Schizosaccharomyces pombe: one gene and its partner. The gene in region 1 interacts genetically with each later gene. Each region holds a gene or a part of one and is shown in the gene's direction. Other genes may lie near its edges.

Evidence for each region.
Region 2: mutations in dsk1 (region 1) and pfd5 together harm fitness more than expected from each alone (negative genetic interaction), as found in Schizosaccharomyces pombe (2 studies listed by BioGRID).

The regions. Positions count from the first base shown.
Region 1 is NC_003423.3:824,253-829,489, reverse strand, and holds dsk1 (SR protein-specific kinase Dsk1), read left to right. Parts: upstream 1-1,557; 5' UTR 1,558-1,676; coding exon 1,677-3,311; 3' UTR 3,312-3,742; coding exon of another isoform or gene 3,743-4,245; 3' UTR 4,246-4,301; coding exon of another isoform or gene 4,302-4,425; 3' UTR 4,426-4,490; coding exon of another isoform or gene 4,491-4,616; 3' UTR 4,617-4,685; downstream 4,686-5,237. Other genes in the region: SPOM_SPBC530.15C (spermidine family transporter), read left to right, coding at 1-399; lsc1 (Lsk1 associated cyclin), read right to left, coding at 3,743-4,245, 4,302-4,425, 4,491-4,616, 4,830-4,911, 4,956-5,116. UniProt on the Schizosaccharomyces pombe protein: May play an important role in mitotic control by altering cellular location, degree of phosphorylation and kinase activity. Abundant expression accelerates the exit when cells are in M-phase and also delays the entry into mitosis when cells are in G2.
Region 2 is NC_003423.3:4,025,844-4,029,711, forward strand, and holds pfd5 (prefoldin subunit 5), read left to right. Parts: upstream 1-1,562; 5' UTR 1,563-1,574; coding exon 1,575-1,761; exon of another isoform or gene 1,762-1,815; coding exon 1,816-1,925; exon of another isoform or gene 1,926-1,968; coding exon 1,969-2,074; exon of another isoform or gene 2,075-2,139; coding exon 2,140-2,201; 3' UTR 2,202-2,273; coding exon of another isoform or gene 2,274-2,462; 3' UTR 2,463-2,503; coding exon of another isoform or gene 2,504-3,247; 3' UTR 3,248-3,300; downstream 3,301-3,868. Other genes in the region: SPOM_SPBC215.01 (GTPase-activating protein), read left to right, coding at 1-1,233; COP9/signalosome complex subunit Csn1, read right to left, coding at 2,274-2,462, 2,504-3,247, 3,322-3,596, 3,656-3,716. UniProt on the Schizosaccharomyces pombe protein: Binds specifically to cytosolic chaperonin (c-CPN) and transfers target proteins to it. Binds to nascent polypeptide chain and promotes folding in an environment in which there are many competing pathways for nonnative proteins.

The DNA.
Region 1 (5,237 bases):
CGACTTCCCTCCATGATGATCGGTTGCATTGTCTTTCCCATTGGCATCTTTTGGCTTGCTTGGACTGGTAATTATCCATGGATTCATTGGATTGTTCCAACTTTGGCAGGTAGTTTTATTGGCTTTGGAATCATTACAATTTTTCAACAAACAATCAATTATATCATTGATTGTTATAGTGGATGTTCTGCTTCTGCAATCGCGGCCAATACATTACTTAGAAGTTCGTTTGGCGCGGCATTTCCTCTTTTTACAACCCAAATGTTCAATAATTTGGGAATTGGTTGGGCTGGTTCTCTGGTCGGATTTGTTGCAGTTGGGCTTATTCCAGTTCCTTTTATGTTGTTTTTATATGGGCCGAAATTACGACAAATGAGCAAGCACTGTCTAAAGGATTAATTCGTCATAGAAGTCCGCTTTTTAGTTGATTTGCTTGACCCTCTCTTTTCCAGTTTTTGTTTTTCTTATTTCTGTTATATTCATCTTTTTTATTCAGAAACCATGCCCGCGGTTTGTTGCCTTGGGTTAATGGCCTCAGCATTTACTTGTTGTTATTGTTATTTTCGTTAATTTAACCAGTTTGCTGCCGTTTAGATATTTAGAAACGATGGACTTTGTTTTAAATGATCTCTATTACCCGCTGCCTCTTTCTTTTGTCTTTTTGTGACTTCTTTAATAATTCATCATCCTCAATGATTACTTTTGTTGATCTCCGTTTCCTTTATGTTTCTGATCATCACAAAAAAAGTACCTTTCAAATAGACATTTATATTTATTGGTTGGTTATGAACCTTACATATGATTTCCGTTTACCATAATACATTGCTAAGACCTCAACAAAAATAACTGTTAGCACAGGCCATACTTGTCAATTTATTATATCCCGTTTTTATCAATGTAATTGAATGTTTTCGAGTCCAGGTCTTGCCCGTAGAATCACGGTTAGTGTGAGTAGGTAGTAGATCTCGGGCCGTAGGTGTGAATGCCGTAAAGCTAGAACATTATCTGAGAATTTTCATTTTAAGAACGCCGTATGTTGAGAGAGAAAACAGATCTTAAATATCCCTCTTTTCAACGACTCAAGAATTGTTTACATTTTTTCTAGCTATCCTGTCGAGATCTAAGAGCTGAATGGGATACAGTTATAATGGATAACGATATAAATTTGGAAGACCTTAACACATCTTATGGAATTCTAACGGCTGGGCTACTTCGGTAAAAGTAGTTAGTAAGGGATAGCGATGGGATGAAAGCGCAGGGGGTTCATATTCTATCAACTGCTGATATTTTTAGTGATGCCTTAGTCATTGGTATTCATATATACGGATTTTTAAGTAGTATTATTAAAATATTTATGGTACAGTAACGGAGTGTAAAGGTGGCTTCTCCTACTGGCGTAAAATAATTAGTAAACCATTTTCCCATTTTTTGTTATTTACTATATCGAAACGCTCTTCCTAATGCGCAAAGTTTCCTCGGTAGTGTGCTAAGACTCCACGGTGTTTCCCCGTGTTGATTTTCGCACTAAAAATACTACTCCATACCGTATTTATAACCAGAACAAACAACAACAACAACGAAGGAATTGGTGTATTCACATATCTCAGATATTTTAATTTAAGAGCTGGAGGGACATATCAGTAGTTTCTTCATACGGGGCAGCCAGCCATTTTGAAATGGGAAGTGACGGGTCGAGTTTGTCACCGAAAGTGTCACAACCGGGACACACTGAAATAGTTGACCATGTCAGTGAAAAGGTGATCACGAATGGAAAAAATGTTAATAAAAAGGTCAATGCTGAAGTAGACGGAAAAAGCATGGTGGAAAAGGTAAAAACGCACGAAGAAAATGCAGAGGACTATCACTATGGTGGATACCACCCAGTCTACATTGGTGAAGAATTTCATCACCGTCGATATGTCGTTGAAAGAAAATTAGGCTGGGGACATTTTTCAACGGTTTGGCTTGCATATGATCGAGCTGCCAAACGGAGAGTAGCTTTGAAGGTGGTGCGTTCAGCAGAGCACTATCGAGAGACCTCAATTGATGAAATTCGCATTTTGCAGAAAATTAGAGAAGGGGACGAAAAGCATTTGGGCAAAAAGCATATCATTTCTTTGCTCGATTATTTTGTGCATCGTGGTCCTAATGGAGCTCATGTCTGTATGGTATTCGAAGTTCTCGGTGAGAATCTTTTAAGTTTGATACAGTCATACGGCCATCGAGGAGTACCTGTGGGTATTGTAAAGCAAATTGCCTACCAATTACTCATCGCTCTGGATTACTTGCATCGAGAATGCGGGATCATTCATACTGATCTTAAACCCGAAAATGTTTTAATATGCATTGATCAGGATGCCTTGCAACATATTGAGGCACCTGCAACAACTTCCTCCCCCACTTCTAATACCTCTTCTTCAAAAACAAGAAATAACACTGGTTATACAGCCAAAGCTCCAATTATTAAACGTGGCCAATCTGTAGATAACTCTGCCCAAGAACGCAAGACATTTGCAAAAAATCCAACTAAGAATTCTAAGCCTGCTGGCCAGGTCATTCCTAGCAGTCCTTTTACTTCCACTTTGAGCCGCTTTCCTTCATTAGAAGGTGCTGTTTCAGAAATCAGCCTTCGTGACTCTCAAAAGCATAATTCTCATCCTAATTCTCCGTTTTCTAGTGGAGATAATTCTCTTATACTTGATGGTGTTAACGGTTCTCAGGAACCCGTTCCAAAAATCACTGTTAAAATTGCCGATCTCGGTAACGCGTGCTGGACACGGAAGCATTTCACCAACGATGTGCAAACCCGTCAGTATAGGTCTCCAGAAGTAATTCTAGGATGTCGCTGGGGAGCTTCCGCTGATTGCTGGAGTTTTGCCTGTATCATTTTTGAATTGCTAACCGGCGATTACCTTTTCGATCCACGGAATGGGAATTCTTATTCTAAGGAGGATGACCACATTGCCCAAATTATTGAGTTATTGGTTAATTATCCTAAGCAAATGGCACTTTCAGGAAAGCACTCCCGCGATTTATTTAACCGTCGCGGTGAACTCCGAAATATTCATAAATTGAAGTTTTGGCCTTTAAAAGATGTTTTGGAGCAAAAATACCATTTTTCAGCCGAGTTGGCTCAACAAATATCAGACTTTTTATCTCCTATGTTATGTTTTGATCCTGCCAAGCGAACCAATGCTGGTTACATGAGCAATTCTCCATGGTTGCGCGAAGTGGCTGATCCTACGTTCAAAATCGAGACTACTGGAGCAACCGGTGAAGATGTACCCGGATGGGCTACTGAAATTCGTTAGTGTTTACCTTGATATTGGTTTTGAAGCGCTAGTAAATGATTTTTTTTTATATATAGTTTTTTTTTGCGATATCGTCCCTTTTTTAATTTCCCACCATTAGCGTGATTGCTTTAAAAAAGCATGACACCTTTCACTCTGAAATGGGTTACGTATGATTATCACGATTCCTTCTTTTGATCAACATTTACTGCACTGAAATTTGAACGAAATTTCCTTTTACTTAATGAATATTTAAGATATAGCAGGGTTTAGGTCAGCTGCTTTTTAAATCATATTATGTTTAGAAAACGCATAAAATAAAGTTTTGTCATTCAAAAGGAAGTTAATTGGAAATTGGTAACTTGTAATGTCACATATTAATATACTGTTCAGAATGCTGTCGAAAGAAGGAACAAACCGATGGTAAGATAACTCATTAAGGAACCATTAGATTAAACCGTACCTTTATTTCTCCTTTCTTCCAGCATTCGTTTTTCAAATTCGGTATTAAAATACTTTCTATCGCAGTCTAAAATAAATCTGGCACAACTTTCTTTGGATTCTTGAAGTCTCTTATTTGACTCACGGTATTCATCTGCTAAAGAAGAAGAATGAGGGTCAATTTGGGGTGGTTTTTGAGGACGGCCAGAGTTTTTTTGGGCTCGTTGGAAGTCAACACATAATCCAAGTAATTTTTCCGTTGTATACATATTACCAATGCAAGTGTGAGGCTGATAATGCATATATAGATCGAGTATATCCGCAATCACTGCTTCCGTTAGTGCTGGTGGAGCGAAGAACGATCTGGGAATTATAGGTTGAGGAAGTTGCTGTAACTTGCAAGCAATAGAAATCGATGCGACGGCAACAATATGGGCTGGATATTTTAACATTGTGTATGTTTTATAAGCATCAGTGCAGACATTCCAAGCTATACTTGCCGTGGAAGATGAAACTGAAAGTAAATTAGTTAACTCGAAAATTATAAGGTAAAATGAATAGCAGTCATACATTTCAGTGATTTTGCAAATTTTACCATGTAATTGTGTGGATGTCGGACTCGAAAATCGAAACAAATCAATTCCAGTGTCATTCTTTCTAAACCTAGAATCCTCTTCTTGTTCTCTTCGATTAGCTAATACACCTGTAAGCAAGTCTCCTTATAAACAAAAAACAATTATTGCGCACCTTGTAACATACTTGTGAATGAGCATCGACCTCAGAACCTGGATGCTTTTGAAGATAATGTGCTAAAAGAATATCACGAAACTTTTTGGCCGTATCTTCGATTTTACTAGCAACTACTAAGCAAGCAGTAGCGCACTCCTAAATGTGTTAGTTATTTTTGAAAGAAAAAGAGCCTAAATCAAGAGAATATGATGTTTATAACTTGGAGTAGCTGAGCTAACATTATTAAAAACTGTAGTCTTTTTTAATAGTATGACCAATGTACAGCATTCAGAATATTCTTATATCAGAATACGTAAAATTTCAAATAGCACAGCATACTCATGTGCGAAAGACATCCAAATAACATACCAGCAAAGGAATTTCATTCACGGGAAAAAATAGTTGGAAACGACTGTATAAAAGCATTGCAAGGCCGCTGGTCCTTACAGGGCTAAAAAAAAGTTAGATTCTAGATAATTTTGAGGAAAAGCATACAATTTTAAAGTTTTTGAAAGTGTTGATATCCAAGCGAACGCCTGCATTCGCAAATTATTTTCTTTGGGATCTCGCGTCGACAAAATTCGACTTATTTCTTTTTCTGAATAGTATGGGTGTGACATTCGTATTGAAAGTACATGATTCTCATTTTCTGCCATTTTAGCAGCTAAAATGGTGCTGGGTTTGTGAAGGCCTGGCTTTACCTGCAAGGTGCAAGTATGCTGAAGTTAAGCGATTCCTTTTAAGTAACGCATTTTATCATGTTGTATACTGTAAATC
Region 2 (3,868 bases), 3.2 Mb from region 1:
GCTGAAATTATGAAGGCTACAGAAGACACTATGTTGATATCAATTTTAAAAAATTATTTTTCATCATTGGGAGATAAGGCTTATAAAGATGCAACAGATAAACGCGTTGCCTCTATCACGAAGTTTCAACTTTTATTGGTAACTGCTTTCAAGAAGTTTAGCCATATAACACACTCTTTAATTGAAGATGAAAGGAAAAAACATTACGAAGGAGTTATGAATTCTATTGAGTCATTTGCAAAGAGAACACAAATTAGGAGTTTACAAAATTACGGTACATTAACACGTACGGATTTAAGTAATATTTACGACCGTTATCATGAAGTATTGTCGTCCAAACATCGAGTTGGATTAGGCAGCTCTACTGATACACGGTTGGAATTTGACGAATTTTGTATATTTTTAGCAGGAGTTACTGAATGGGCGAAAGGTTTGGATGCAGCGGCTATCAATAATTCATCATCCTTTCTTCGTCATTTGTTTTTACGATTTGACAAAAGCATGACTGGATCATTATCTTTACAGGATTTGGTGTCCGGTATTGCAGAATTGAAATTTAGGGATGTAATGCGCAATATATCTTTTATATTCGAGCTTTATGACTTTAATGGAGATGGTTTTATGGATAAACCAGACGTTTTGAAGGTTTCAGAAGCTATTCTTTGGTTAACTAGGTTTATGGGTGATGAGTATCTATCCGCAGTTAGCGAATTCATACAACGCTGCTTTCATTTTGCTGATGAAGCTAGTCCTGATGGTCATTCTGATACGTTGATTGATATAAGCGACCATATGAGCAGTACTGGTTCTGAAAACCGTTCTGTTGGTGCTAATAGTGATATCAAAGTTAGTCTTCCCACTTTTAGAATGGTTGTTTTATCAATTGGTTTATTAGAGCAATTATTTTCTGGAGGACTCGCCGACTCTATCGTTTTAGCTCCAGTCCAAGAAAAATCATCAACCACCGGAGGTTTGAGAGGTTTATTGGATTCTTTGGTAATTGATACCAATAGGATTGGTAAAACATTTCGTGGGCATAAACCCGCTTCTCGTCCAAGTACCGCAAATGGTACTAGCAATCAAAATACTACTTCTGAAATTACCACATCGGAAACTACGGCGACTGAAAAAACACCTTCAAATTCTTCAGATACCGAAGATGATGTTGGTGATGTTGTAGAAAACGATAAAGATTTGCTTCAATTTGATCCATACAAAAAAAATGATGCTTAAAAAGCTATACTTAAACTTCTAATCAATGGCACTATAATGCATCCTAACTAGTATTATTTTCCCAAATTTTGTTAATCTTCATGCTCATAATTTATTAATTATTGAAAAATCTATCATCTATATTGATATATTCTATAGCGTCCCTCTGCTCAATAACATATTCGATTCTACTTTCACTGTTTGGTATAATTCTGAATAACTGTTTAAAACAAATATTGTTTCAACCAACTAACTGATTGTATATTGAAATGGATTACCATGTACCTGTAATTTAATGCAGTGCAGCGTTGGAATTTCTACCAGTTCCTTCGTATCTTGACTGTTCTAATAGAAGCGTAATAATGGCTGAAGGTAATAAAGCGGTCGATTTGACTTCTCTCAGCTTGGAGCAATTATCAGAAGTTATAAAACAGTTAGATTCTGAGCTAGAGTATCTATCGACCTCCTATGGACAACTAGGACGTGCTCAATTGAAATTTCGTGAATGCCTGGCAAACGTTAACGATGCTGTGCGGGCTGAGAACGATGGTATAGACAAACTGAAATTTTTTTTGCATATGTTTCACTAACTATTGTCAATAGGAAAGGAGGTTTTGGTACCTTTGACTTCAAGCTTGTATGTTCCTGGAAAGCTGAATTTAGGAAACAGTAAATTGTTGGTCGATATTGGGACTGGTTATTACGTTGAAAAGGTATTTTTAATATATAAGAGATTTTTAAACCTAACGACATTAGTCCGCTGGAGAAGCTACCGAATATTATAAAAGAAAATGTGAATATCTCGCCAGCAGTATCGAGAACCTCAACAATGCCATTGACGCAAAATCAGTTCAAATTAGAGGTATGAGCATTTACAGTACAGATCAATTTTTATCTTATTATCAACAATTTGCTAATTCTCTGTAGCCGTTCAAAACATTATGCAACAAAAGGCAACAGCTACAACAGCTGCAACTAAATCTTCATAAGCTAAATAATTAATGAAATTTCAAAAAAAGTAAGTAAAGGATTAACCAATTATATGATGTGCATGCTTTTTGTTAGTTCTGTGAATCTTCCGCGGTAATGTTCGTTTGAGCGATAACTGGAGCTTCGTCGTCAGTATTTTCAGTGTTCATCGCCGCCAATGTTTGTAAGTAAAGAGCCTTGCTGTAAAGCAAACTAGTTTGCGCGATATTTTTTATGTCCTCGAAGTTTTCAGGCTCTGAAGAAGGTTCGATATAAACACGCTTATAAAGTTAGACCAATATAGCAGATTTATTATACTTACCTTTTGAAGAGAGTCCACCTTGCCATTTAATTTTTTGGCTTCGATTATTTCTAATAAATTTTTCTCAATGAAGTTCTCATCAATATGAAAATCAACTGCAATTTTGCTGAACGGCAAAGCACTGTAAGGAATTAAATAGTCAAGAAGTGAACGCTCCCGAATAAGGGAAAATAAATTTGTCAATTGAGGAGCCAGATACATGTCTAAAGAATAGTCTTGAGCATTTTGCTGTAATGTATCAAGCAAAAGACTATATTTGCGATTACATTTCGCTTGCAAACAACGTCTCAGGGAAGGGTCTAAATCTGACAAAGCATTGAACTCTTCATTTCTTTCAAGCTCTTGAATCAGACGTTTATGATCCCAGCACGCTAGTGCACAAAGTGAGATATACACTGAAATGTCAGTTTTTGTAATAATACCATCAGAGGTATCAGTTTCAACTTTTAAAAAATGAGCCAGGGCCTCTTCGTAATCACCCAAGCAAAAGTTGGCCAATCCACAGTATGCATAAATAGGACTAGTTAGCTCCATGGCTGCACTAACAGTAGACTTGGCGCGAGACCCGAAGGCTAGTACATGAGAATAATTACCAATCCAAATAGAAATTCTCATTAACTCTAAGGATAAATGAGCAATTTGTCCAGCATTTGTACAATATTCGCGAACTTTGGCATATGATCTTAAAGCACTATCAAACTGGCCCACATCAGCAAAAAAAGAAGCTAAATCTAGTTGTGCCGCCTAAAGTTGTTAGAATTGTAACAAAGGATGTAATAAAAAGTCTGTGAAGCAAAAAGTTATCTTGTAGCTCATACTCTTATAGATTCTCGTATTAAGTTGTTTTTATAGGCTTTTAGTTCCCTTCTTAATTGTTCTAGATTTTGTTTCCTATGAAAAGTAACGCTTTCAACCCATTCTACGTCCAGCTGCTCGTTTTCGAAGCAATCTTGAAACTCCTCGAATAGAGACTGGTACAACTCTAGATTATATGTCTTTTCTTTCAATTCTTTAATGGCATAATGAACACAAAAACTTCTTAACGGCTTAGAATTACGGGCGACAAACAGCGCGCGAAATATTTTGGACCATACTATGAAACTGTGAATAAAAGAATGACTTGCAAAAATGCATCAATTGAAAAACTCTTACCACCATATTCATCCAGATATCTCTTTAATTCTTCCTGATTGACTAGTAGATTTAAGCTCATAATAGAAAACTCGTAACTAGTCGGAACACTGTAGGTTATAGAATTGGCCAACTGGTTATAGGCCAGTGACGAGTACCAGATGTATAAAAGCTATAATAAGATGGTGATTTTTTCAAGTCGAAGATGTATGTAGTTAATTAGTTCTACTTTAC